Linked DNA regions of Arabidopsis thaliana. The protein of the gene in region 1 binds, or shares a complex with, the protein of each later gene. Each region holds a gene or a part of one and is shown on either strand. Other genes may lie near its edges.

The links.
Region 2: AtPOT1a (region 1) and NAP57 share a complex: the UniProt entries of both Arabidopsis thaliana proteins name them as parts of the telomerase holoenzyme complex.

What each region holds. Positions count from the first base shown.
Region 1 is NC_003071.7:1,883,468-1,899,651, forward strand, and holds AtPOT1a (Nucleic acid-binding, OB-fold-like protein), read left to right. Parts: upstream 1-7,216; 5' UTR 7,217-7,777; intron 7,778-8,003; 5' UTR 8,004-8,083; intron 8,084-8,246; 5' UTR 8,247-8,346; coding exon 8,347-8,473; intron 8,474-8,607; coding exon 8,608-8,744; intron 8,745-8,816; coding exon 8,817-9,009; intron 9,010-9,114; coding exon 9,115-9,212; intron 9,213-9,365; coding exon 9,366-9,445; intron 9,446-9,586; coding exon 9,587-9,853; intron 9,854-9,957; coding exon 9,958-10,034; intron 10,035-10,141; coding exon 10,142-10,200; intron 10,201-10,281; coding exon 10,282-10,440; intron 10,441-10,522; coding exon 10,523-10,729; 3' UTR 10,730-11,047; downstream 11,048-16,184. Other genes in the region: AT2G05220 (Ribosomal S17 family protein), read right to left, coding at 11,290-11,712. UniProt on the Arabidopsis thaliana protein: Component of the telomerase ribonucleoprotein (RNP) complex that is essential for the positive regulation of telomere length. Binds RNA non-specifically. Binds specifically single-stranded telomeric DNA.
Region 2 is NC_003074.8:21,148,513-21,163,058, reverse strand, and holds NAP57 (homologue of NAP57), read left to right. Parts: upstream 1-6,983; 5' UTR 6,984-7,106; coding exon 7,107-8,804; 3' UTR 8,805-9,244; downstream 9,245-14,546. Other genes in the region: AT3G57170 (N-acetylglucosaminyl transferase component family protein / Gpi1 family protein), read left to right, coding at 800-901, 995-1,135, 1,222-1,328, 1,418-1,639, 1,877-2,371, 2,624-3,033, 3,142-3,235, 3,328-3,439; AT3G57160 (cysteine-rich TM module stress tolerance protein), read left to right, coding at 4,217-4,346, 4,552-4,768, 5,162-5,207; SDP1-LIKE (sugar-dependent 1-like protein), read left to right, coding at 9,744-11,162, 11,241-11,384, 11,475-12,317; BOP1 (Ankyrin repeat family protein / BTB/POZ domain-containing protein), read right to left, coding at 13,032-13,964. UniProt on the Arabidopsis thaliana protein: Plays a central role in ribosomal RNA processing. Probable catalytic subunit of H/ACA small nucleolar ribonucleoprotein (H/ACA snoRNP) complex, which catalyzes pseudouridylation of rRNA.

The DNA.
Region 1 (16,184 bases):
AAATGGATTATGGGACCTAAAATATTCTGGAAACCCTTTCTCGTGGCGGGGAATGAGATATGATTGGTTTGTTCGCCAACGATTAGACCGTGCAATGTCCAACAATTCTTGGCTGGAAAGCTTCCCCTCTGGAAGATCTGAGTATCTTCGTTTTGAAGGTTCTGACCACAGACCTTTAGTGGTGTTCGTTGACGAAGCTAGAGTTAAGCGGAGAGGACAGTTTCGTTTTGATAACAGACTCAGAGATAATGACGTTGTCAATGCCCTTATTCAGGAAACTTGGACAAACGCAGGAGATGCTTCTGTTCTCACCAAGATGAATCAATGTCGTAGGGAGATAATTAATTGGACAAGACTCCAAAATCTCAACTCTGCTGAATTGATAGAGAAAACCCAAAAAGCTTTAGAAGAAGCTCTCACAGCTGACCCTCCTAATCCAACTACCATAGGAGCCCTCACTGCGACGTTAGAACATGCTTACAAGTTAGAAGAGCAGTTTTGGAAGCAACGAAGTCGAGTTTTGTGGTTGCATAGTGGTGATCGAAACACCGGCTACTTTCATGCAGTTACCAGGAATAGGAGAACGCAAAATCGCCTCACTGTGATGGAGGATATCAATGGTGTTGCACAGCATGAGGAACACCAAATTTCCCAGATTATATCGGGCTATTTCCAACAAATTTTCACTTCTGAGTCTGATGGTGATTTTTCAGTGGTCGATGAAGCTATTGAACCCATGGTTTCGCAGGGAGACAACGACTTTCTAACTAGAATCCCAAATGATGAAGAAGTAAAAGATGCTGTCTTTAGTATCAATGCGAGTAAGGCGCCTGGTCCTGACGGTTTTACAGCGGGTTTCTACCATTCTTATTGGCATATTATTTCAACTGATGTTGGAAGAGAGATCCGGCTTTTCTTCACTTCCAAGAATTTCCCTCGCAGAATGAATGAAACACACATCCGTCTTATCCCTAAGGATTTGGGACCTCGTAAAGTTGCAGATTATCGACCAATTGCCCTGTGTAACATCTTCTATAAGATTGTTGCTAAAATCATGACGAAGAGGATGCAACTTATCCTCCCAAAGCTCATCTCTGAGAATCAGTCCGCCTTTGTGCCCGGTCGGGTAATATCAGATAACGTCCTTATTACTCATGAAGTTCTTCATTTTCTCCGCACCTCATCTGCAAAAAAACATTGTTCAATGGCGGTTAAAACCGACATGAGTAAGGCGTATGATCGAGTTGAATGGGACTTCCTCAAAAAAGTCCTTCAAAGATTTGGTTTCCATAGTATATGGATAGATTGGGTGCTTGAGTGTGTTACCTCTGTTTCCTACTCCTTTCTCATCAATGGGACCCCCCAAGGCAAAGTTGTTCCTACTCGGGGGTTGAGACAAGGCGACCCTTTATCCCCCTGCCTTTTCATTCTCTGTACGGAGGTATTGTCAGGTCTTTGTACGAGAGCGCAGAGGCTGAGACAACTCCCGGGGGTCAGGGTATCCATTAATGGTCCGCGGGTAAACCACTTACTCTTCGCCGACGATACCATGTTCTTCTCAAAGTCTGACCCAGAAAGCTGCAACAAACTCTCTGAAATCTTGTCAAGATATGGTAAAGCTTCAGGTCAGAGCATCAATTTTCACAAATCCTCTGTCACCTTTTCATCAAAAACCCCACGATCAGTAAAAGGACAAGTCAAGAGAATTCTGAAAATTAGGAAAGAAGGAGGCACTGGAAAATACCTTGGATTACCAGAGCACTTTGGTCGTCGTAAGAGAGATATCTTCGGGGCTATTATTGATAAAATCAGACAAAAATCTCACAGTTGGGCATCTAGATTTCTCTCGCAGGCCGGAAAACAGGTTATGCTTAAGGCTGTTTTGGCGTCGATGCCTCTCTACTCCATGTCTTGCTTCAAACTACCCTCAGCTCTATGTAGAAAGATCCAATCCCTGTTAACTCGATTCTGGTGGGATACTAAACCGGATGTACGAAAGACATCTTGGGTCGCTTGGTCAAAGCTGACAAACCCAAAAAACGCTGGAGGGTTAGGCTTCCGTGACATAGAACGATGCAATGACTCCTTGCTTGCAAAGTTAGGATGGCGGTTGTTGAATTCCCCGGAATCTCTATTATCACGAATCCTTTTGGGCAAGTATTGCCATTCCTCCTCCTTTATGGAGTGCAAACTTCCTTCTCAACCCTCTCATGGTTGGAGGAGCATCATAGCTGGAAGAGAAATCCTAAAAGAAGGTCTTGGTTGGTTGATTACTAATGGAGAGAAGGTTAGCATTTGGAATGATCCTTGGCTATCTATTTCCAAACCACTAGTTCCTATTGGTCCTGCTTTGAGGGAACATCAAGATCTCCGGGTTTCAGCTCTAATCAATCAAAACACACTCCAATGGGACTGGAACAAAATCGCTGTCATTCTCCCTAACTACGAGAACCTTATTAAACAACTCCCGGCTCCATCTAGTAGAGGTGTTGATAAACTTGCTTGGCTTCCAGTAAAATCTGGACAATATACCTCTCGCTCTGGCTATGGCATTGCATCAGTAGCCTCAATCCCTATACCACAAACTCAATTCAATTGGCAATCAAACCTTTGGAAGCTTCAAACCTTGCCAAAAATCAAACACCTTATGTGGAAAGCAGCGATGGAAGCTCTCCCGGTGGGAATCCAATTGGTAAGACGCCATATATCACCTTCAGCGGCTTGTCATAGATGTGGTGCACCAGAATCGACCACTCATCTGTTTTTCCATTGTGAGTTTGCTGCCCAAGTCTGGGAGTTAGCTCCCCTTCAAGAGACTACAGTCCCACCTGGTTCTTCTATGCTAGATGCACTAAGCCTCCTCAAGAAAGCAATTATTCTACCCCCTACAGGTGTTACTAGTGCAGCGTTGTTTCCTTGGATCTGCGGCATATATGGAAAGCTAGGAACCAGTTAATCTTTCAAGAATCCCATTTCTCTGCAATAGAGACAGTGACAAGAGCTATTCTTGATGCTCTGGCCTGGCAATCAGCTCAACGGTGTTTACCAAAGACTAGAAACGTTGTACACCCAATATCTCAACTCCCGGTCCTTAGATCCGGATACTTTTGCTTCGTGGATGCGGCCTGGATAGCGCAGTCGTCGCTAGCAGGTTCGGGGTGGGTCTTTCAATCAGCAACGGCGTTGGAGAAAGAAACCGCTACCTACTCCGCCGGTTGTCGTCGGCTTCCTTCAGCCCTGTCAGCTGAAGCTTGGGCAATCAAATCAGCCCTTCTACATGCGCTACAACTGGGACGAACTGATCTAATGGTGCTCTCAGATTCCAAATCGGTGGTTGATGCCTTGACTTCTAACATCTCAATTAATGAGATCTACGGTTTGTTGATGGAGATTCGAGCTCTTCGAGTCAGCTTCCATTCCCTCTGTTTTAATTTTATTTCTCGTTCTGCTAATGCAATTGCGGATGCTACCGCTAAACTCTCTTTCTGTAATGTTGATGGCCGTGGAACTTTATCTTCCGGTTATGTACGTTTGGTTTAGTTTTAATGAAATTGGGTTTTGACAAAAAAAAAAAAAGAATAGTGACACTATATTTGGAGTATCACTATTCAATACTCTAAATTTGAAGTTTCATCTTTTTATTTGCATTTAAGTCCCTAAAATTCAATGTTTCATAAATAATCGTACAAATTACTATGTTTATCATTTGAGAATATTACGTAATTAGACACTTTTTGGAAACTTAATGCCGATTAAGGCACTTTAAAAAGATTGGGCACTTTTCTAAGCCAAATTGTCCAATTTGCCCTTCTAACTATAACTTCCTCTCGTGATAATATTTTTTGACTTATATCTCTCATTCTTCTCTCTCTTCTCTTTCTTTTTTCTCACTTTATCGAAAAATAAACAAAATCAAGCAGAACAAAAAAACAACTTTTCTCATTATTTTGCTATTTCTTTATCTTCTCATCACAAGTCAATTCACCAATTCGTTCTCCTATTTTGATCTTCTCGAATTCCTATGGTTTCATTGGAATCTGAGATTCAGTTTCGGCTAATTGAATGTACTCGCTTCATTAGTCAAGTTTTGGCACTGGTGGAGTACAAAAACGGCAGGTGTGTAAATGACGAAAGCGAGTACATTTAACGACAGAAGAAACAGCCAGTGATTCGCGACAGGAGATTTGGGTCTAGATCTAAAAGTCATTACTTTATTCGATGTCTCTTCTTAGTTGTTTCTCCAACGGATTTGTTATGGTTTCTTGCGACGGTTGTCTTTTATATGGTGATGAAGTGTCTGTTGGTTGGTGGAGGCGATCGAGTTGTTGGTGGCGACTGAGAGAGCGTTATGACTTATTCATCATCTTGTTCTATATATGTATAACTTATGTGTTGGTATAAACAACCATATGGATTGCACATCTTGGACACACATCAATGGACAATGTTGCATTTGTTTACCATTAATGTGTCATCGCTGGATATGGATCCATTATATAATTATGATAATGTCCATACTCTATACACAAGTGAATATTGGTCAAAGAAAAATGGACGGTGTATTTCTGTTGAGATTGAGTTCTTGATTAAATATGTAAGATAAAATGCTTCAATGAGAACATGAATAAGAAGAAGAAGCTCAAGCAAAAGAAGAATATGCATGGGAGAAGATGAAATAATAAGTGATTGGGCTAATTGTTTTGTTAGGCCTAAATGAGTAAGTGTGTTATGTTAGTTAAAGTTTAGCTTAGTGAAGAGTTGTTAGAGTTGTTGTTGTGTAGGAGTTGTTGGTAAACCTTGCTTGTAAGCTTGGGTATACCTTAGAGACTAGAGTAATGATGTCTTAAAGTAAGGTCTAGGTCTAAGTAGAAGCATAATGCAAGTGTGTACTTAGTAGAAGTAAACTAGTATGAATATGTGTGTGTATGTCTTATAATAAGAATCTATCTTTGAATCCAATACAAAAATGTTGACAACTAATGTTTTCACTTTTCTCTCTCTTACTAATCGTTTTATGTCTTCGTGTCAAAACAAGAAACTAACCAAAGACTGAGAGAATGAGAGTGAAGGTTCTTTTTGTGCTTGAGTTAAAATGAGTGAGTGAAACAAAGCATTAAAGAGAACTAAGAGATGTAAGAGAAGTGAACCTCTAAAAGTTAAATAGAGGAAGAACCCAAAAGTTCAACAAATTTTTTATCAACGATTATTGTTCATGTATAAATTTGTGCATTGATATAAAACAAACTGTGAGTTACTAGGTGACCATTTGGACTTGATTGTTTGGACACTCGTCAGTGAACAATTATATCTTTAAAAAGAATATCTAAATGATTTAGAATGACTAAATGTTCTTTAAGAATCAGATGGATGAAACTTTGTGGACAACAATCGTACCAAAAGCACCACATATAGCTTTTCCAATTCTTAACATGTAAGACCAAAAGATTCACAACTCTCATCATAACAATCTGCACAATCCACGATGCGTCATCCATAATGTGCCATCCATATAAACATTCCATTATCGTCATCCACATTGTTAGAACTAAGATACAAACATTCCATAAACAAGCAAAATCTAAAATCTAAAAAGCCAACAATCATATGATCAGTTTAACGTCATCAAATTCAAGAGAGTGGCCAAGTGCTATGCAATGATAAGAGTATCCATATACATGTGAACAAATTGTCAAAACAAATTGGTGATTGCAGCTAATGTAAAAAGTCATATGGATATAGAGGTGTGGATAGGTGTGTGATCTAAACACATCATTTCTAGATCCGGAAGATGTATCTGTTGGGAAACGATAGCTCCAATAAAACCAAATATCACATCTTCCCTAGCATTTTTGAGATAGAAAGAGATTAACACAAAGTTATTGTTAGCCAAAGTTTTTGAAGACCAACTACGTATCTATAGGCTGGAAATAGAGCAAAAATTAAACAAGGAATTCAAGGTGTTCCCAGAGAAGGGTATTAGAATTTTAACTGGAAAACTAGATGCATTTTAACAAATCAAATTTCAATGTCAATTCACAACATTCATATCACTGGATCCTAACTTGGGATTGAGTCAACTACTTAATTTAAAATTCTTCAAGTAATTTGTCAAATCGATCCTAACTTGGGATTGAATCCTATCTTACTATTTATCAATTTAACATTCAATCTTAAGAAACAGATAAAGCCAAGTAAAAATCCAATACGAGAGAGGATAAAATTTGGTTAAAGATGCTCTTACCTCTCCCAAACAATGATTCAGTTTTTCTTCTTCCCCAATTCAAACATCCTTAGTGATCTGAGTTGAGACCAATATTTTCTGTCTTAATCTTCGGCGAATTGGATTTCTAATGTTAATAATCCTTCGATAAGAAACGATGGTGGTGGCCATAAGTTTTCCAGCGAATGGAGAAAAATATACAAAAGTAAAAAAAAAAAAAAAAAATTAGGGTAAACATAGATTTTGATTGTGAATTTAGGATAACCTCATAATTTTCATGATTTTGTAAAAATTATAGAGAACGACAATGATTTTGAAAGAGAGATTGAAAATGATGAAAAACAAAAGAATATGGAAGAGAGAGATGATAAAAGGGGGATAGTTTCTTACCCACACGATCTCATCAAAAATAAGTTTAATAATTATTGTGTCATCATTACTTCAGGGGTAAATTAGTCCAATTTCTCCTCAAAAAGATGGCAAAGTGCCTAATCCCTGAAAAGTGCCTCAAAAGGAATAAAATTCTTTAAAAGTGTCTAAACGTGTCACATTCCCTTATCATTTTAGTCCTTTAATTTTTATATATTCAAAATATTTCAACACTTTGACTCGTAATCTACAGATTAAAAATAAAGAGACTTATCTATCTCTTCGTAATGCATTGATTGATCACATATGAGAGCATTACGAAAATAATTTTATTGAGTAATTTGTAATTTATAAGTTAATTTATGTATTTTTAATTTTTATTTATATGTATTTTATTTATAAATGTATTGTTTTGTTAATTAAGATTATGTGTAATATTTTAATGTATGTTTTAGTGTTATTATTAAAGTTATATAGTTTTAAAATAATTATGAACAATATAAAGACTATAATGCAAAACACATATTTTAGAAACTTCATATTTAAAGTATACTCTTGGAGAAGAAACTACTCATACTTTATATTTGAAGTTTACATACTCTATATATAAAATATCTTTTGGATATGCTCTAAATTATATTGGATTATCTTTTAGAGAACCTAAAACTTTATATTTGAGGGATAGAGTATCTCTTGGAGATGCTCGTGGTAGTTCAATATTGTACCTTAACTGTAACGTAAATGTTGTTATCTTTACTTAGACGTCTTTGATATGTAAAAATTCTATCTCTGTATCCTGTTTGTACTGGCCTCTCCAAGGTTCACCATTATTGGATGATGCACTGGGTTGATATATATAACATAACTTTTTGGCAAAAAAAAGAAACAAGAAAAAAAAAACAGTCTCTTTGGCGATAGCGATTTGGTCGGAGATTTCTCCGATTACATTGATTGGGACTTTAGTGAATCTTCACAGAAGCAACTTCACGGAGAACGGCGAGAAGAATGTGGAATTGAGAGCGTCGTTAGAGGATCGAGAAGCGTCGGCCGTTTCACTGGAGAGATCTAGTGTTGTTCGTTGATGAAGGGGTTCTAATTTCGATACCTAACGGAATTGATCATTGATAAGGTCTCATTCCGGTGGCAATCGTCGTCGCCGGAAACAATGTGCACAGATACGACCTTGAGGTTAGTTTATTCCTTTAAAATCTAATCACAACAAAATATATCATTTGTATTCATGGGATTATGTTCATTGTAATGGATTTGAGGATTTGGTAGATAAAAGTAGTAAAAATTGTGGATTGAAGAATTTTCTTGTGAGAGATGGTTGATGTAAGGGAAGGATCATATTCTGGAACATTTGTTAGCTTTGGTTACTTCTCACCATTGTGATGAAATTTGCTATATCCAGGGGATGATTCAAGTGAGAGAAAGATAAAGTTTTTTTGCCTTCAGTCTGATTCTGCATTGAATACTTCCAGTGGGCTGCAGGTTAGTGCTTAGTGTTCTTTTGATATCCTTGCATTGTCATTCCGTTGATGGCTATTCTATTGCCTCCAATGTATACTCATTCCACTTATTGGCTCCAATGTATACTCATTCCACTTATTGCCTCCAATGTATACTCACTCCACTTATTGGCTATGGGCTGCAGGTTGGTGCTTAGTGTTCTGTTGATACTCATTCCACATATTACCACTCTCTAATTTTGTGACGTCAGGATAATACTTAAAAACGTTGTAGCAAAGCGGGAGATGGCGAAGAAGAGAGAGAGTCCCAAGCTCATCAAAATCAAAGACGCCATTAAACTCATCAACCAACAAGTCAGTCTCATTGGTATCGTCCTTGAACAAAGAGAACCAAAACAATGTCGCAACAATGGTACTTATCCAAAAAAAACCAAAATTTGAGTTAAATACATAGAATTTTGCTTGAATCTGAATCTTAGTTGGTTTGTTTTGTGAAAGCCCTAACATTTGACCCAACAAAATCTGAAAGTTGGATTTTTTTCTTAGATTGGATTTGTACGCTACGGATAATTGATGATACGTATCCAAGTCCTGGACTTACTGTTAATGTATTTAGTAAGACTCTTGAACAACTTCCTCAAATCAAGAACCACGACGACATGATTCTGTTTACTCGCATTAAGGTACAAAGACCTCTTCATTTTCCTTCTGTGTTTTGTGCAGGAGGTTATAAAGTTTGGATTTTTATTGTGTAGATGCAAACTTTTGATAGTGGAGAAAGAGTAAATGCTGCTTGTAGTAGATGGGTTTCTTCCTTTGCCTTGTTCGAAGGTGTGGATTTTGTTTGTTACCAATGTAGTACCAATTTTCATGAAGAAGAAGCATTATACAAGAGTGCCATGGATGATTTACGCAAAGTTTTTGCGGGTTGTAGCCAAGTTATTAAAGGTAACACTGTGAGCTTCTTTTGCTTTCAACTATGCATATAGTATAATGGCTTTGGATAGCTTGGAACGATTCTCATAAGCTTTCATTTACTGTTTTGGTACTTAGCTATGCAGAGTATATCTTACAGAACAAAACCTTGCTCCGAAGTTTTTTCCTTCTTGAGAGAGATCAAGATAGGAAAACGCTTTGATTTGGTGTGCAGGGTAATATGCTCTATACTCTCTATTAACTGTGAGAAAGCTTTTTAACTCTTCATTCCTCTATACCACTTCATTGTTACTTCAAATCTTTTTTTGGCTCCTTTTATGTTTTGTTGACTGATCCTACCTTGTTTCCTGCTGTTTCTTGTGATGGAGATTCTCCATGCCGATGAAGATACTAGCGCTGTTTTTGTTTGGGACGGGACTGATGCACCCCCAGCATCTATTCTGGCTAAGTGAGTATTAACTGCGAAGGAAAAAAGTTTTAAATCCTCACATTATCTGTTTTGAGTCATTCATTTAGGCTTGACTCTACGCTTTCCATATCCTACGCTTACTCTTCTTCTATTTGGTGTACAATGTTTGGCTATCGACAGGAGAAGTGAAGAAGACAAGGCATTTAGCAGTCTCTCTGTTCATACTTTACTGTCAAGAGATGTACTGCTCAGCTTTCCAACCGTTGGAACGATCTTGAGAGTTCATCTAAGCAGTCATCTATTTTATCGGGTTAAACCTGGTGATTGGGTGAAACTTTACCATTTACTCTGTGAAGTTGATAGAGGATCTTGGGTAATCAAAGTTACCAGCTCTACAAAGGTTCATCATCTCGCTCAAGATGATCGTTTAGTTGAAAAGATCATGAGGTTTGTACTTCTTGATATTTCTTTCAGTAACTACTTCCGACCTTTTTGCATACCATGAGAATCTCTTACCATTTTGTTTTATAATCTAATGTGCCAAAAACTAGGATATATGATAAGAGACTATCATCAAAGTTGGGACACATTTCATTCTGGTGTTTTCCGTCACCTCCTGGATTAACAGGTTGCAATACTTCTCTTTTACTTAATGAGCAGGATCTAATCTCAACGAATGTTTTTCTCTGTGTCAATCTTTAGACAGACTTCCTTAACATTCTTGGTGTCTTGCAGAGACAGATGACAATTGTGCCCCATTTGTTACACTGATGGACATCATAACATTCCCCAAGGTACCATTCATGAATCTATTTGCTGTATTCCCTGAAAAGATTAAGAATACTTTTATGTGATCGCCTACGTTGTTATTACAGGTTACATGCAAGTACAGATGTATTGTTCGGGTTGTAGCTGCATATCCTTGGCAAGTAGAGGATTTCTGTTCAGATGAGAATCGCCGTCACCACCAAGTTTTGTTGACACTGGAGGATTCAACAGCGACTTTAGAGGCTTTCTTATGCAATAAAGACGCAGTAAATACACCATTTGGTCTATTTGCATCTAAACTGTCAACAAAGATCGTCTCTGATAGCCTAATCTAGATTTTATTGGCAGGAGTACTTTTGGGGTTTAGGGTTTCAGGACACAGAGACGCTGAGGAAGAAGCGGAATTGGTTGCTCGGTATACGGGAAAGCTCGAACTTTGTGGCTCCAAGAAATCCACCATGGATCGAGTGCTGCATCCTCTCCTACTATACTAACAAAGCTGACCCGTGGAATACTAGATTATACAGAATCTTTGGTACTAGACTACTTCATTAAGTATTTGTAAGTGTTAAAAGAGGATTAAATAGTTTAGTATTAGGCTCATGTTAAGAATGTTGGATTTGGCTTACTTAAGTATGGTAGTTGTGTTGTTTTAGTTCATGAAGACCTTGTAACCAAAAGAACATCTTCATGATATTAACCAAATCCAAAGACTGAACACAAAAATATCTTCCTCTAGACCTAAAGAGTTAATAGAAGCAGCAGGCAATATACACATTTTCATTGTGGAACAACTCTACCTTGTTCAAAGTTTTAAAATGGTTTCGACCTGTGGAATGTTTCACTAACAGTCCTTCATAAAACTCCACAATCTTCGCTGATACAACAACTCTCCCATGAATCAACTCGGATCTGATAAGCAAAAAGTATTGGTACTATCAAATGTTTGAACTCCAATTTTGGTTCCACATAACTTAAAAACCATTAATACGAAAGAGTCTCACATTGAGTTTAAGACATAATCAGAAGAAACAATAAACAACCACACAAGTCTTTCTTGTCCCTAACTGAGAAAAAAGAGAGCCAATCGTAGCTGATGATTAGCTGAGGCCATCTTAGTATCTTCTGGGTGCCCTGCCGCCGAAAGCAGCGATTGGTGCCATAGCTTGTTGTGGCTCGACTGCAGAGATGCCGGATGTGTCAGACATTCCTAGAGAAGCAAGCATCTCAAGAGTCTCTTTGTCGACCTTGATCTCATCAGTCTTGATAGCAGACTCATCGGGAACAAAGTCCATACGGCGTTCACGCTCTTCTTCTTGAAGCTTGAGTGAGATTCCACGGACTGGTCCCTTCTGGATACGTTTCATCAAGTGGGTGGAGAATCCAGCAATCTTGTTGCGGAGTCTCTTTGATGGGATGATGGCAACCTCTTCAAGGATCTTCTTGTTAGTGTGAAAGTCAAGAGTCATGCGAGAGTAGTACTTCTCAATGACTTGACGTGAAGATTTCTTCACCGTCTTGGTTCTAACACGCCCCATCTTTCAGTGACTTACCTGATGAGAGGAGAAATTCCATGTCTTATTAAGGATTCAAAATCAAGAAACAACCAAGTATAGATGATTTATGTCTTAAACTTCAACATTCAGGTTGAACACTAAACAAACACAGGAACCACATGTAAATGCAATGTCAAATATTGTCAAGAGAATTGAAAATGAGTCAAGTAATATACATCAACATAACGCTCAACTTGAAAGAGGTCTAGTGTTCTTATCAAACAATATAAGCCAAATTTTATACATACATTTATATTCAGCCTAAAAGAATATCAACTCACGACACACTTTTGCTGAATGAAACACAAAATAAGAGAAATTCAGAAAACAACAGAACCTCTTCACACGTTGGTATAATATACAATGCCTAATATTAAGACCAAAAACTCAACTGCATTAGAATCTTAATTAATCAGATACAAAAGCTACATTATCAATTTTGACACATGAACATCAAAATCAAGCAACCTATAACAATTCACACAGATACAACAAGAATAGCAAACTATCAAGTCAAAAGTCATGTAAACGTGTTCACTATTATCCACTAGTCTTCTCAAATTGATTTCATCTTAGTTAGTAGATGAAACCCAAATTCAACATTACAGTAATCAACACAAACAAGTGAGAGTGGGCAATATAAATCTAATGTTGTCAAACCCATTACTCAAAATCTACAGACCTAAAGAACTTACAATCGAAATCTAATGTTGTCTGAGATCAGATTTATGAATACTCACCGGAGACAGAGATGGAGACGGAGACGGAGACGGAGACGAAGAGAGGCAGAGAGCGATTTCGATTTGGAGATGCGAGAGAGGCGGAGAGAAGTAGAGAAAATAGGGTTGGTGAAACATTAACCTTATATAGGGCTTCTAATACTCGGTTTAGGTTAACCCGATCGGACTCTGATAACCGAACTGACCCGAACCGAATACCGATAGCCCAAATTAATTTTTCCGAACGGTTTACTTCTCTGCTACTTCAATTCGCAATGATTCGGTTCTTCCGGTTTGCTTTACTCGGGTTTAACCGGAAATCCAGGCCTATATGATTTTTAGGGTATATGGTTCAATTTTTGATTATTTGTTTTCGATTTATTTTATTAAATGATAAATAAATAAATATGTTTTAAGAAAGTTTAAGGTATAGGGTTTAATTTTGAAACTTAATGTTTTACTATTTTATCAATGAACAAAATAAAATGCAAAAGAGTTATTAAAAACTTAATCATATTTGATTAATCTGATTACATATAATTAATAAATGAATGTCAAAACGTTTGAGCATAATTAACAAAACGTTTGCTTAATTTAATTAATATATAGGAACAAAATAAAAGTTATTTTCTGTAGTTGTACTCATGTATTCAATACTAGGATATGATCCACGGTATACTGCTGGATAATTTTTTTTTTTAATGTTGATGTTTTGTGTTTTGACAATATAGTTTATGTTCAGTATGGTTATTGTATTTTTTTCCTACTGCTCAATTATATATTCGGTTGTGTGTATAATTAAAGAACACGTATTTAAGGTAACGATAACATTGGTTATTCTACGGATTTATGGAATTAGGCGATATAATATGTATATTTCTGTAAGCATATGATTTTGAATGGTTGTTGATGTTTTTTTTTCTTATATAAAAACTATATCTTCTGTGGTGGGTATAAGTATGTGACACTTTATTTTCATAATGATATTTAGATTTAGTACTTGTATTTATTTTATTTATGCAATGCAATGTGGATATCTCAAGAATGTATATTAATTTGGACAGCAGGTAATTAAAATAACAATTATGAAATTCTAATGATGTATCATAAAATTGAAATTGAAATTAGTAAATGTGTTTGTCACAAATTTCTAAAAACAATATATGTTTGTAACATTAATAATTTTGTTAGAAACTTGGTAATTAACAAAGCCCATTACATTTACCTCTTTTGTTTAAAGCATACTGTTATTGAAGCCCAAATCTAAAACCGAAGCCCACTTAATTTTTTCCAGCCCAAACACTATTAACAGTTTTTACTGTTACCAACGTTGAGAAAAAAAACAAATTTGGATTCAGTTTTTTTTTTTTTGTCAATCACATTCCGATTCAATCTGAACCCAGCTTCTTCACAACACCATATCACTGATCGATTGACAATTATTTGCGATCAGGGTTTTGATTCAGTTTTTGTCCACTTCTCAATAGATGATGCTATAAATTGATGAAAGATTAGAACATCATATATTTATTGTTTTAATTCTGTTATTTAGCAATGACATATAAAGAGAGAAAATATTTTATGAAATTAAAGCCATTAAAAACATTATCGAGACATATCCGAAGGAAGTAGTATTGAATCAAGTATCTAGAACTAAACATTCTAGAGTAAACAAAATTTCTGAAGAGAGTAGTCACTGAATCAAGTATCTAATTTACTTCTTGTATAGTACATTAATAAGTGTATCTTGTTCTTTGCTAAAGGAACTCACTTACATTTCCAACAGTATAAATAGTATAGGCAAAACATCCAGTTATATATGTTAAAACAAGGAAACCAAACCCAACAAGTTTATAATCTGAAACATCCACACAAGCGTAATGAGTCGATGGTATAATAGAGACATCAATTGTTTGCAAAGCCAGAGGTCGAAACGTATAACCTGGGCATATAAGGGCATACAAAACAATTTCAAATTGTCATTTATCACAGGAAAGCCTGAGATTCAGAGCTAAAGAGAAGGGGAAAAAAAAAAAAAAACCACCTAATAAAAGAGAGATGACAAGCACACAACATGAGACATTCCTCAAAAAAAGTTATGATCCCACAATAGTCTATACTCCACATCATGTCCTGTATTTAACAATCACAAAACCTCAAACTAATCTAGAACTTGAATTCTCAATTGCAACTAGGCCTGGGCAAAATACCCGAACCTGAAGAATCAAACCAAACCCGACCCAAAAAATCCGATTCGAATCCGAACCCAAAATTTTAAAATACCCGAATGGATCCTAAACTTCAAAACCCAAAAACCAGATCCGAACCTGAACCCGATCAAGTACCCGAACATATCCAAAATATATATATAACAAATAATTTATCAATAATAATCATATCTACAAGTCTACAACAACTTAAATGCCTAAAATATTTGGATTTTAAGTTATTTTGTATATTTTTAGGTATTTTACCTACTTTTAGATAAATTCGGATAGAAAATAATCAAGTTTTTATAAATTTTTGAATAGTTTCAAGTAATTTTAACCTATTTTGATATAAAAGTTTTGAGTTTTGGATACTCCTGATAAACCCGAATCCGAACCCAAAAAACCCGATCCGAACCCGAAGTCTTAAAATACCCGAACGGGTCTTAGATTTCTAAATCCGAAAAACCCGACCCGAATATCTGAACGCCCAAACCTAATTGCAACTTTCACATATTTTAGAAACTAAAGCAGATATCATAGCCATTGTCATCACATTGCCTCAACAAATTTGTTTTGCCAAATTTTGGATAGTAACTCAAAGATTATCGCACTCAAGAGTTTAAGAAAACTTCCCCAAAGTGATCTTCCTTACAAACACATAATCACGATACAAATAGATCTAACCATCAAGCAGAAGACCAAAAACAACAGAATCAACAAGCAAACCAAGACCATGAAAGTATAAATTGATTAAACTCAGAGAAACAATTAACCAAAAGAAACTCATGTTAAGAATGTTGGATGTGGCTTACTTAAGTATGGTAGTTGTGTTGTTTAGTTCATGAAGACCTTGTAACCAAAAGAACAACTTCATGATATTAACCAAATCCAAAGACTGAACACAAAAATATCTTCCTCTAGACCTTGGACTAAAGAGTTAGTAGAAGCAGCAGGTAATATACACATTTTCATTGTGGAACAACTATACCTTGTTCAAAGTTTTAAAATGGTTTCGACCCGTGGAATGTTTCACTAACTTGAAAATTCAATTACTAAATAAAAGGGAAAAAACCAAAAAAAAACCTCAACTAAATTTTATTTGGACGTTTAAGACCCAATTGTTTTTTGTTGGAAGGTAAATACACGAAGTAATAAAACCGTGCAATTTAATACACAAACAATTAATTATTGCTATTTTAATACTCACGATCTCATAACAAAAATAAAATTCCAAATTTACCCTTACCATCTCAATTAACTATTATTTTTTTAATAATATAATTTTAATTTTATAATTTTGAATAAAAATTAATTTTATTAACATTTTAGTTAATGGTTTCACTAACTTGTAAATTCAATTACTAAATAAAAGGCAGCAAGAAATGGAAAGATAATTGCTACATTTATAACTCTACTTGTAAAAATTCTGTCATCACTAAGGTCAACAAAGAAACGAATACATAATCGAAAAAGAAAAAGAAAAGAAGAAACAGAGTAAACAAAAGTCAAACTATGCTTTGCTTAC
Region 2 (14,546 bases), on another chromosome or scaffold:
TATGAATCTCGGTTCATCTTTCCGATCGCCAATTGCCTTGTAGAAGTTGATACTACTCATCGTCTCTTCTTCGATGCGAGTATTTTTCTGGGGTTTTACTTTACTTACATAGTTCTCTAGTTCACATTTGAAGTTGTGTCTTCTTAGATCGATAAATTACTCTCTTTTATTTTGGAATTTTCTCGTATTATGTTCACTTTTTCAAATTCTTGTTGATATGTTGTTCTCTTTCGTTTGGCATTTTGGGAATTGTGTGGCAGAGAGCTGAAATGAAGAGAAAATGTAGGATTTGGTTGCCTAAACAGCTCGCATCAACTGATGATTTGAGTCACAGTCTATTGTTTGGGTGGTTCGTTTGCCATTCCTCTTCTTGTCTTGACGTTGTTGTGTCCTTCATCTCTGATGAGAGCTCCTTGTCCAATGCCGGATCTAAGCTCCAAGTAATAACTCCACCTCAACAAAACAAAAAATCCTTTTTCTCTAGCTTTTTGATAAACAGTGTATGCGACGTTTCTCTTTTGTGATTTCTAACAGGATGTACTCCGTGAAACAAATGAGAAGATGCCCTCAACTTTACGGGACAAGGCAGCATTTACACTCCTTGGTCGTTATGATATAAGCCGTAATGCTAATGGAAACGTATCAAAGATTATAAGAGACAAAGATATGTCCCGCAAGGCTGGAGCTTATGTTAGGCCTTGCAAATATAGTGGCCTCAGTTGTGGTTGTCATAAGGTTGATGGCTTATTAGAGGATTTCAGGAAAGATTCTGTGAGAAATTACTGGATTCATATGGTGCATGATTCTGCAGAGCATAGAATTATGGAATTCCATTCAAGTTCTAGATTGCATCATATACACTGGAATGGGGATATTGTATCTCAATGCGATGTCCACGTATGTAAGTCATGATGTCTTTCTCTTGTTTTATTCTTTTCTGAACCTACACGCTGCCAGTGTTTGACTCCCTTAAACATGGACATGTCATTGTCAGGTCATAGTCTATGACACTCCAGTGTTTGGTTCTCACCATTTCTCGTTAAGCTTTTCGAATTCTTCTCCTCAGACAAAAGCTCCTCTTAAGAAACCCAAGTGGGTTGATGATCTTCACAATAGGAAACCTCTGAATGAAATGGTTGAGTAGTTTCCAAAATGCTTCTCTTTGTTGTGGTGTTTCTTTCTCGACTTGTTACTAATATTCTCTCATTCTTATGTAAGCAGGAAACTGTTATTCTTTCCTTAAATTGCGCCGCAGCTGCCAAGATTGCCTATAAGAAGATATCCACGCAGCTGGAGACTTCTTCCCAGAACTTTTCCATTAGTTACTTGTAAGCCCTCGTGATATTTTTTTTTGCCTTGTTGAATTCTTTTCTTCTTTGTTGTTAGTTGTTCCAACTGCTTCTATCTTGCTTTTCAGGATATCTTCTTTAACATGGCGGTTACTCGCCACAATTTTAGGCTCTTTATCAAGTCTGTATTATAGCCTTGCCCAATTCTTCTATTTACTTTCAAGTTTTCTGATTTTTTCATGGGTGCACATCGCATCGAGGAGGGTACTCAAGAATACATGGATCAACTTCAGGATACGTAGTTGTCAGATCTTATATTGGCCAATCTTCCTTGAAGAGATTGACATGATGTAAGTTCAACCGTATACCCAAATTTTCTTCTTTAGTTAGATTTGTAAACTTTTTCTGTTTGCCCTTGGCTCAAAATTGCATCTTCATATTTTTTTTTCTAACAACAACTGCTTACCTACTAATCTTGGGAAATAAAAAAAGTTTAATTCTAGATACCTTTATGCAATGCATTTGTCATTTTTCTGAGAAGTTTCACACGATTATTAATTTATGACAATTCTTCTGGGTTTCTCAAGGTCCATATCCTGTGTGAAACATGCAGAGGAAGCTGCACTGCAAAGACATTCTACATGGTCGGCCATGGCTGTTGATCTTGTTTTGGGGAACTTGATTGGTCTAGGTCTACTGTTTAACACCGAATCTGTCTGCTCATTTGTATTCGACTTTGCAAAGGAGTTTACGAATGGTATTTTGCGGTCTGGTAGTGTGTGGTTGATGGGAGTTCCAGCGGGTTTTAAGTTAAATACAGAATTGGCTGGAGTTTTGGGCATGGTATCTCTTAATGTAATACAGATATGGTCTACTCTCTGGGTCTTCATGGCTTCTTTCATCTTTTGTTTGATAAGAGTAATTGCCATCCTTGGAATTACTTTTGGTGCCACAGTATCTGCCGCATTTGTCATAGATGTCATTACTTTTGCAACACTTCATATAATGGCTCTTCACTGGGCAATCACACTTGTGTATTCTCACCAAATCCAAGCCTTAGCAGCTTTGTGGAGGCTTTTCAGGTAAATCTTGAGTATTAAATTAGATGAGTTCATTCATTAAGCTGATAACTAACATCTGGTGAATCGGTTTCTTGGTTTTCTTAAATCTAAAAGGAGGAGACATGCAATACGTTTTCCGTTTCCTTTTTAAACTTCTTGAATTCAATGAAAATACTAAAGTATTGTTATATCTTCTTACTGGTGAACCATTTTTGTTCACCTCAGTTCCTTACTTAAAGTAACCTTACCTTGAATTCTTCTTTGTTCTTCCAGAGGGCGAAAATTGAATCCTCTACGTCAAAGAATGGACAGCTATGGTTACACTGTGAAGCAACATGTAGTGGGATCTCTTCTGTTCACTCCTCTTCTGCTTCTCTTGCCAACAACATCAGTTTTCTACATCTTTTTCACCATTACGAGCACTACAATAAACTCCATATGTATGTTGATTGAATTTGCCATCTCCGTCATCCATGCAACACCATATGCAGAGGTTATGATTTGGCTTGTTAGGCGTAAAAGATTCCCCTGTGGTGTTTGGTTTGAAATGGAACACTGTGGAGAGCATATCCTTAAATCCAATGATGCCTTCGAAGACTCCAAAAGTCTACTAGAAGAACACGGTACTCCTGAGAAGAATTCTCTAATGGTTTCCAATCTTCGCAGCAATTTTCTAACCTTAGGTAAACTTGTAGATTGTTCCAAGTCTAATGACAAGTTAATCTAGATGATCTGTTATGCTTTTGTTTGGTATTCAATTTTTGCTGACATTTATATTGAACAAATTGCAGGACAGATTCTTTTGCCTCACTATAAAACAATTTTTTCAGGAATATCAGCTTCTTCTCTGACAACATCAGCTCGCGGAGTCCTCAGTGGGAAGAGGTGATTTTATATGATCTTGATCACAAAATTTAAGTCATTCTCTCTCTCTCTCTCTCTATTCAAAATCATTTACCTTCTCTCGTCTTTTCCAGAATGCCATCAAAACTGGGGCTTGATCTTCCTCCTCCGAGGCCATGGCTCCACATGCCATTGAGACAGTACTGGATGCTATGCCATAATTCCATCAGCTCATGTGGCAAATGATGACTTCTCCAGCTGATCTCTTAGCGTTTTAATTTAACTCCACAAGACAATGAGATAACTAGGGGAGTAAGGGGTGAGAATCGTTAACATTGGAAAACATGGATTCCTTTTTCAATATTTGTGGCCCTTTTTACTTGATTTGTTCATCAGCCTTGTCTCTGGTTTAACTATGTAAAAATCTTTTGATTTGATCTATGAAAAACAAATTATATGAAATTAATGATGATTTTTTCTAGTGAAATTATATTGCTGATGAAATTTGGTTGCATGTCAAAATGTAAATAATTTAATTAAATATTCTGTTGTTTTTCTGATTTTCTTAAAAAGTTGAGGAATATGAAAAGTAAAAAAAAAAAAATGTGGTAAGATTCTTTTTTTTTCTTGAATATAATTGCTTTTGTGAATTTACGGAAAAGAAAGTTTTTAAAAATTAAGTTAAATACAAGAAAAGTGAGAAAATAAATTTAAAGTTTGAAAAATAAATAAATGTAATTAATATCTAAAAATTAAAAATCCTTCCAAATTAAATTAATGTAATTAAAATAGTCAAAGATAAATGTAACAATATCTTCTTATAGGGCTTACCAAAAAAATATCTTCTTATAGGGAATAGAATCTGGATTCACTTCCCAAAAGCAAAAGTTAAAAAAAAAAATCAAGAAAATATTTAGGATATACATTTAAAACATAAAAAAAGTTGACTAAGATATAATTTGATAGGATAACCGTTAGAAAATACCTTTAAAAAGAGTAAACCTAATTCGCCTACAAATAAAAATGCGCTTTTCCTTTTCCTCTTTCTTCTCACTTTTTTTCTCTGTTGCATCATCTTCCAAACTCCCGAAGAAGAAGAAAATAACTACAATGAGTCAACAACCTCCTGCTGTTGGTGTTCCTCCTTCTCATGGTCACTCCTTACTCTTCTGCTTTTGATTATTTGAATTATTATGGTCTCACTTCTCTTCGCTTTTTGTTTAAGATTTGAGTTTTTTCTAACTACTTCTCCAAAATATGATATAAAGTGTTGTTTAGATTCTGAATTTTGATTTCGAAATTCGTGTTATTCTGCTTTGATGGATCTGAATACGTTATCTATATCTCGATCTGAATAGCTTATCCGGCGGAAGGACCACCCAAGGACGCTTATCCACCTCCGGGACAACCCTATCCTCAGCAAGGATATCCTCCTCCGCAGGGATATCCTCAACAAGGTTATCCTCCTCAAGGTTATCCTCCGCAGGGGTACCCTGAACAAGGATATCCTCAACAAGGTTACCCACCTCAGCAACAACAGCAACAGAAACACAGTCCTGGTATGCTTGAAGGATGGTAAGTTATTTGCTCGACTTTAAATTGTTCTTTCAATGTTTTTTCAGTTTTTGGTTCGAGAATTGTTGATCCTTAGAGAGAATTCATGGTTTTTTATATCATTTGATTGAATCGGTAGTACCATGTCATGTCACGTTTGTTCATAAGTTTGTTTTCATTTGGATTTGGTCCTCACCTTATAGTAATGCATAGAAAGATGTTGAATCTGATAGTGCTGATCTGAGTGTAAGATATAATTCAAACCTCAGAACCGAAGGTTATTAGAAAAGATGTGTGCCATCATGTCTTCATTACTCAGAAGTTTGTTTTCTTTCTCACTTTGTGGAGTTATCTGGCTAATACATGTTGTGTTCAGTACTGGATATGACTGAGTATGGTGATTTGCTTTTGCAGTATTGCTGCTCTGTGCTGTTACTGTGTCTTGGACGCTTGCTTCTGAGTGGAGGTCTCCGCTTGAAGCTGCAAAATTGGTTTATACCGATGATCTCATCTCATTCTCTTTCGTTTCTCTACAGACTTGACTCTCTTCTAAGCATTTTATCTTAGTTACTATTAGATTATTTGGATTTTGCCAAATGGGAATGTAAATGGTTGGGTGACCCAATTCATGTTGCACATTATTGGCTTTTACCCTCTGCTTTTTCTTCCTAGCTTCATCTAATGATTGCACCCTATTTATTTAGTATGATCATTTTGATACCAAAATTCAACAATTTGTAAAACTGATAACACCTTCATAGCCAACTTAAAGAACTTGCTTTTATATAAGGCAACGATAGAAAGAAATAAGAACAAATTGTAAAGAGCTAGGACAGTGATATTTGCGTTGAAATTACGCTGGAATTACAAGAATTCAAAGATCCACACGAGGCACATTAGAGGTTTTTTAAAATCTAGAAAACACTCTGTTTTTTGGGTTAAGGTCAGCCTTAAATAACAGCCAATCCTGATATACCCTTGAAACTTGATAGATAAATGACCTTATTGAGTTAACGAAAGAAAAGACATGAGAATTGATGAAGCTATGACAAAAACCAGATGTATCACATGTCATCTTCGATCCAAAGTGGCTGCTTCTTCCATGTTTGTGACTGATTAGTCTTCTTTTCACGTATAAACAGAGACAGAGAAGCACGAGTTTCATCAATCACTACTAAACCATCTCTCTTTTGGGTTTTCTCCAGTTTTGGATTGGTGGCGACAAGGCTTGTCGTAGCCGGAGGAGAAGCTCGTGGGTAGAAGAAGTCGGTCGGGAAGAAACTATATTGAAGGCCGGCCATTTCCTACTTCAGCCCAGTGTTTTCTCTTTGGTGAGTTTTAGGTTTAAAGAAAAATTGTTTGTTTGTTAAGCGACTATTTATTGGCGAGACAAGAGAGAGAGCCAGAGAGCTGACTTTACCTAAATGCAGAAACTTAAGGTGTAAAATGTAAAAGTCTGAAACAATGGGACCTATATTCTTGAAAAAACTTGGGGTTATTTTTGTTCATTATGCGAATCAGTTAGCGTAAATAAGGATATTCGAAGAATTATTTCACTATATTCTAGGGCGGTGGTTGATTTGTTCAAGAATTTTAGAATCAAATCGAAACACTTCACTCGAAACATTTTAAAATCGTGATAATTTTTCATGTCTTTGAATGGCCACATAAATCTTATGGTATTTATATATGCGGAAAAAGAGAGTAGTATACACTTAACTATATTCATCCATATTTATGATTTTCTGTGGTCAAGACTTGGTTTTAGTAATATAAGGATTGTCTTCTTGTTACTGAAAAAGACAGACGTTCGACTCTTAATATAATAATTATCACGAGGCGTTATTCATGCTTCATTAGGTTTATATGACCAATCAATACTTCTAATTATATAAGCAGTTTTATTAACATAACATTCAATTGTCTCGTATCAAAAGAGCTTTTTTCTACATTTTGGGCACAACAAAAGAGAACCTTAATTATCTACACAAAAAGGGTTATATTTACTTTGAAGTTTGAACTATGAAAGGTCTTTAAACTGGTATTCACTTCACGAATGATAATATTCAAACGAATTGAACTTGTATGAAAGTCCAATTAAAGGTTTTATCGGGTATATGGACCTCGTTTATTTGGGCACTAAACGAATTGAACTTGTATAAAAGCCCAATTAAAATCAAAGAAACCCAACTCAAGCCCAATAAGGGATTACCTTCAAGCTTCCAGTGTCATCACTGTCGCCTAAAACCCTAAAAAACCCTAGTCCTTTATAAATTACCAATCAGTCGTCTCCTCTTTTTCCGCTACAACTTTTAACGCCTCCTCCTCCATTTTTCAAAACCCTAATCCGACCGGAGCCATGGCGGAGGTCGACATCTCACACTCGAAGAAGAAGAAGCAAGACAAAACGGAGAACGATGCCGCCGACACCGGAGACTACATGATCAAGCCACAGAGTTTCACTCCAGCCATCGACACTTCTCAGTGGCCCATCCTCCTCAAGAACTACGACCGCCTCAACGTCCGTACCGGTCACTACACTCCAATCAGCGCCGGTCACTCTCCTCTGAAACGTCCTCTTCAAGAGTATATCAGGTACGGTGTCATCAATCTCGATAAACCCGCGAACCCTTCTTCTCACGAGGTCGTTGCTTGGATTAAGCGTATCCTCCGTGTTGAGAAAACCGGTCACAGTGGTACTCTTGACCCAAAAGTCACTGGAAACCTCATTGTCTGTATTGACCGAGCCACACGGCTTGTGAAATCGCAGCAAGGTGCGGGTAAAGAGTACGTTTGTGTTGCTCGGCTTCACTCAGCTGTCCCTGATGTTGCTAAAGTAGCTAGAGCTCTTGAATCGCTCACTGGAGCTGTGTTTCAGAGGCCTCCTTTGATCTCTGCTGTTAAAAGACAGCTTAGGATTAGGACAATCTATGAAAGCAAGCTGCTTGAGTATGATGCTGATAGGCATTTGGTTGTTTTCTGGGTTTCTTGTGAGGCGGGTACTTACATTAGGACTATGTGTGTTCACTTGGGTTTACTTCTTGGGGTTGGTGGGCATATGCAGGAGCTTAGGAGGGTTAGGTCTGGGATTTTGGGTGAGAATAATAACATGGTTACTATGCATGATGTGATGGATGCCCAATTTGTGTATGACAACTCCAGAGATGAGTCTTATCTTAGGAGGGTGATTATGCCTCTTGAGATGATATTGACGAGTTACAAGAGACTTGTTGTCAAGGATTCTGCTGTGAATGCTATCTGTTATGGTGCTAAGTTGATGATTCCTGGGTTGTTGAGATTCGAGAATGACATTGATGTTGGTACTGAAGTCGTTCTTATGACTACCAAGGGTGAGGCGATTGCCGTTGGGATTGCTGAGATGACAACATCTGTGATGGCTACTTGTGATCATGGTGTGGTAGCTAAGATCAAGCGTGTGGTGATGGATAGAGATACCTACCCGAGGAAGTGGGGATTGGGACCAAGGGCTTCTATGAAGAAGAAGCTTATTGCTGATGGGAAATTGGATAAGCATGGGAAGCCTAATGAGAAGACTCCGGTTGAGTGGAGCAGGAATGTGGTTTTGCCTACCGGTGGAGATGCTATAATTGCTGGTGCTGCTGCTGCTCCTGAGGAGATAAAGGCTGACGCTGAGAATGGAGAAGCAGGGGAAGCGCGTAAGCGTAAGCATGATGATAGCAGTGATAGCCCTGCTCCTGTAACAACCAAGAAATCTAAAACCAAAGAAGTTGAAGGAGAAGAGGCTGAAGAGAAGGTGAAGTCTTCTAAGAAGAAGAAGAAGAAGGATAAGGAAGAGGAGAAAGAAGAGGAAGCCGGGTCTGAGAAGAAGGAAAAGAAGAAGAAGAAAGATAAGAAGGAGGAGGTTATAGAAGAGGTAGCTTCACCAAAGTCTGAGAAGAAGAAGAAAAAGAAGAGCAAAGACACCGAAGCTGCTGTTGACGCAGAAGATGAATCAGCAGCAGAGAAGAGTGAGAAGAAAAAGAAAAAGAAGGATAAGAAGAAGAAGAACAAAGACAGTGAGGATGATGAGGAATGAGATGGGTTTGCGTTATGGTGCTTTTTAAGTTTTGAACTCTTTTGATTTTGCGGTATCTATCTACTCTGGAACAAAGTGAGACAAAAGGCATTTTATGCTTGTATTCTACGTCTCGCTTACGTTACCAGATTTTATGTTTTTGTAAGGTTAGTTTCAGTTCTAAGCAGATTCTCCCTTTAGTTATATGACTGTGGTCTCTCTCTCTGTTTTTGGTCTTTGCCCTTCTTGTCTGTCTGTTTGTCTGTTTGGCAACGAGGATAATAATAGACCTAAATCAGTATTAAAAGTTACGGGTTTTTAACTTTCAACAAACGGGCCTTAGCCCTGACCAAAAAATGGGCCTGATTACGAGAACTCAGTCCTTTGTTGTCTGTCGCTGGGTCTAGAGATGATTATCTCGGATAATACCGAACTTATTTAATACGAACCAGAGATGTTTGAATTCAACGGTTTTATATTCGTCGAGTTTCAAAAAACAGAGACTATTTGTGCAAAAAGACAATTTTTTATTCTTTTGCAATTTGTCGTGTTCGCGAGTTTATGTTCCCAAAATTAGAAAGTCCAAAGATTAGCTTGGGTCTTACTTAGATCGCCAATTTTGTCTCATAGCAAAAATGAATCTCAGGTTTCATTTAAATGAATTTCCTCTGTTCTTCGCTAAAAACGAAATCTTGAAGTCCTCTATTATACATCGGAATCTTTTCTTTTTCTATGTTATCTTGCAGATCCCTATGCCTCCCATCACTTGCTGTCTCATCTTTCTCAATTTCATTCCTCGGTGGGTTAGCGATATCTCCTTCTCTTCTCTAATGGGTTTGAAAAAATCGATTTTTTGATTCATCTGATTCTGGTCTTACAGACAAAATTGGCATCTGGGTTCGATTCTTTGTGTCCGTCGTAAAAACCAGTGATTAGGTTCTCGTCTTCGAGTCGGAGACAATGGATATAAGCAACGAAGCAGGCGTTGATGCGTTCTCAATTATAGGACCCACGACTATAATCGGAAGAACAATTGCCGTCCGGATCTTGTTCTGCAACTCCGTGTCTATATTCAGACACAAAGTTTTCAGAATTCTCAAATTTTTCCTCAGAGGAGGTAGGGTTTTACTATCACCGTTTGTGTCCTTGCTACATCCCAGGAATCCACAAGGGATATTAGTAATGGTGACGACGATGGCCTTTCTGTTGAACCGCTACACAAGCTTAAAAGCAAAGGCTGAGATGGCTTACAGGAGAAAATTTTGGAGGAACATGATGAGAGCTGCATTGACATATGAGGAATGGTCTCACGCCGCAAAGATGCTAGATAAAGAGACTCCCAAGGTGAACGAGACAGATCTTTTTGATGTGGAGCTCGTAAGTAATAAGCTTGATGAACTTAAGCATAGACGTCATGAGGGCTCTCTTAGAGACATTATTTTCTGTATGAGAGCTGATCTTGTGAGAAATCTCGGTAATATGTGTAACCCTGAGCTTCACAAGGGAAGGCTTCACGTGCCGAGACTCATCAAAGAGTATATCGATGAGGTCTCTACACAGCTTAGGATGGTTTGCGACATGGACACTGAAGAGCTTTCTCTGGAGGAGAAACTTTCTTTTATGCATGAGACCAGACACGCGTATGGAAGAACAGCTCTACTTCTCAGTGGAGGAGCTTCTCTTGGGGCTTTCCATCTTGGTGTGGTCAAGACGCTTGTGGAACATAAGCTATTGCCAAGAATTATAGCTGGTTCAAGCGTGGGGTCTGTAATGTGTGCGGTTGTGGGGACAAGGTCATGGCCCGAGTTGCAGAGCTTCTTTGAAGGGTCCTGGCATGCTCTGCAGTTCTTTGATCAGATGGGAGGAATTTTCACTACTGTGAAGCGGGTTATGACTCAAGGCGCAGTCCATGAGATCCGGCATCTGCAATGGAAGTTGAGGAATCTCACCAACAATCTCACATTCCAAGAAGCTTACGACATAACAGGACGGATTCTAGGGATAACAGTTTGTTCCCTGAGGAAACACGAGCCGCCTAGATGTCTCAATTATCTGACTTCGCCTCATGTTGTGATATGGAGTGCAGTGACTGCATCTTGTGCTTTCCCAGGTCTTTTCGAAGCTCAAGAACTCATGGCCAAAGACAGAACTGGAGAGATTGTTCCTTATCATCCACCATTTAACTTAGATCCTGAAGAGGGCTCAGCATCAGTTCGGCGCTGGAGGGACGGTAGTTTGGAGATGGACTTACCGATGATACAACTCAAAGAGCTTTTCAATGTCAACCATTTCATTGTCAGTCAAGCCAACCCTCACATAGCACCCTTCTTGAGGATGAAGGAGTTTGTGAGAGCTTGTGGAGGTCGATTTGCAGCAAAGGTATGATTCATAATCTATCTAGTTAATCCACAATACTTATAATCCAATGCCTAATTCTATCTCTTAATCATTCCAAAGCTCGCGCAACTCGCGGAGATGGAAGTGAAGCATAGATGTAATCAAGTACTAGAACTCGGGCTTCCTCTAAGAGAAGTAGCTTCACTATTTGCTCAAGAATGGGAAGGCGATGTCACAATTGTCATGCCAGCTACTTTTTCTCAGGTAAACTAAATAATGATTCCCAACTAGAAAACTTCCTCACTCTTAATCCAATTATTAATGTATAGAGGTTCTATATGTTTCCGGGTTCAGTACTTGAAGATCATACAAAATCCAAGCAATGTAGAGATTCAAAAGGCAGCAAATCAAGGAAGGAGATGCACCTGGGAAAAACTAGCAGTAATCAAAGCAAACTTCGGGATCGAACTAGCACTCGACGAGTGCGTCACCGTTCTTAACCACATGCGCCGCCTTAAACGCAGCGCAGAAAGAGCCGCTGCTTTCTCCGCCATCTCTTCCTCTCCACCATCTAAACATCTTTTGGCCGGAACCAATAGATTCAACGCCTCCAAAAGAATCCCTTCCTGGAATTGTATAGCTCGTCAGAACTCCTCCGGATCCGTCGATGATGATGTCCTAGCTGAAGCTTCACGGTTGTACCAGCATATCGTGGTTGGATCTGGGAGGAATAGTAATCGAACCAGTAACTTAAGCCATACCTATGACGCAGGAAGCGAATGTGATTCTCCAGAAGCTGAAGATTGGACTAGATCTGGCGGACCATTGATGAGGACCAATTCTGCTCAGATGTTCACTGACTACGTCCAGAATCTCGACGCCGTTGATCCGGAACAGATTAGAGCTTCGGAGAACGATTCGATTGTAGCTGCTTCGTCGTCTTCTCATAGCATCACTGTCACGGAAGGCGATTATCTTCAGACGGGAAGAACACACAATGGATTTGTGTTGAATCTCGTTAGAGGAGAGAATTTGAGGATGAATTCAGAGCCGGAAGATAGCCAAAACGAAAGTGAAATTCCGGAGACTCCGGAAAGCGTGCAACTTGATTCGCCGGAAAAGGACATTATTGACGGAGAGAGCTCGGCGTCGGAAGACGGAGACGCTCAGGCGAATCTAATCCATGACCATGAGTAACACTGTAGACACTTATGACTGACCAAGTCAAAGAGAATTTCCTCTCTTCTAAAGGACTAGGTTGCAAAACCTATACAGTGCTTCAAAATTTTGTAGAGTAGTCCTCTAGTTTTGAGAAAATCTTATTTTAGCCACAAAGCTTCTTCAATTTTCAAGTTTCACCAAACTATTTTTTTCCTTCGGAGCAGAAGTAATGTTATTATATTATTGCAGGATTTGTATTTTTCATATGGCTACAAAGTTACAAGCTCCGACCATTTGTTGTTTGTCTTTGAATACACTAATGTACATATTGTAGTGGTGATGACATTGACACTTCCATAAATGTTGGCTTTTTTTCTTTGCTATTATTGTTTTTTTTAGCCTCACTTTACCCAAAAGGAAAGGAAATGCTACGATCAAGATCACTGTAATGCATTGTTTGATTATAAGAAAATTGAATAATGTAAATCCAACGACCTAATATTAATCAAGCTTATACATGTCAAGATATAACTCAAGATCTTTATCCATCTATATATAAATGACCCTTTTGTTTGTGTTCCCTTCCACTCTCCATGACTCCATGGAGTTAACGTTTAAATTTGTTCGCATGGCCATATACATAGAGAAAAAAAGAATACCATAACAACAATTTAATTAGATATTGAATATGTTTATCTTAATTAAAGGATGATGGTTATCAAAAAAGGATGATAGGGACTACAAAAAGACCTAGAAATGGTGGTGGTGGTGATGATACATCGTTGATGGGTCATGATGATGATGATGCAGATTCATTCCTTCCCTTTGATTGCTATTGTCATCTCCAATATCACGATTTGTAGCACCAAGATTCAGATAAACCAATCTTGAATCCAAACTACTTCCGCTCGTGTGTTCGTCTTTCATCCTAGGGTAGATCATTGTGTTGTTATCGTTACTGTTATTGTTTCCTTCTTCGCGTGATATAACCAATGCCGCGGACTGGACCAGCTCGAGACAAAGCCTAAGCTTATTGGGCTCAATGTGAGTCAATCCAGGAATTGCCCCCTTGAACAAAAAATCTGACGTTAGGGTTCGAAGGATGTCGAGAGGAGTGATTCCATCCACTGTCTGGACGTTAGGGTCGGCGTGGTGGTCGAGTAAAACAGCCACCATGTCCGGAGACACCATTTCAGCCGCAATGTGAAGAGCGGTTTTCCCTGTGGGACCCGCGGGATAGTTCACATCAGCTGCTCCAAGCTCAAGAAGTGCCTTTACAACCTCTCTACTACAATTTTCAACCGCGTAAATCAAAGCTAGGGACTCATCTAGATTGAGTCCTTCTCCCATCACCATTAGCTTCACAAGCTCGACATCAGAGGAGTCCAATGCACGTCTCATCCTCCTGATCTTCTGGTCTTCGAGGTCTAAAGTCGAGGTTAGGTCATGGTGGTGAGGCATTAGTGAACGGAGAGGCATTGAAGATTTGAGACGGAGCTCCTCAATCTTGGCTACAAGTTCGATTGGGAGATGTTTGGCTAGAATCTCTTGTGGAAGACCGGATTTGGCGATTAAGTAAGAGCAAGTAGTCCATAATTGATGCATGTCTTGCTTTCTTGAAGCTATGAGCACTTTCATCACATCTTCAATGGAGGCTTTCTCCACCATACTTGTCAAATGTTTCTGTGAGGGAAAAAAACACAGTTGGCTTTAAAGACAAAACAATATTGAAGTTAGAGACACTATATATCCACCACTTCCATTTCATTGGATGAATATCATTTTCATTATAAAGGAGTTGTTTCACGCGACTATGGTTCAAGAGATTATTATATATGGAGAAGAATACAAAATGAAATGGCAAAATTGCTTAAGCGAGAAAAATCTAGTTACACTAAAAGCCTATAAAATGATAAAATTCTTTTAAATTAGGTCATTGCATTTGAGAAATTGCGGGAATGCTGAACGGAAACAGCGATCCTCACAAATATGCGATTACTAATATCATGCAAAATCGCAGAATGAATGATTAAGACAATTCTCAATTTTTGGGACTACTAATAAAATCACTGTTTTTTTCTCCAAGTTACTATTTTAGAAGATATTTTCTACTAAATAAAGAGTATGTATATTAAAAAAATAAAAGCATCATTCCATTTTAAGGAAATTTCTCGGTGTGCAAAACACATCAGTCCATTGCCGTCTAAATCTGGAAAGAAAGTTGCACTACGTGCAATGCAAGCAATCTTTAAGCTTAGTTACACA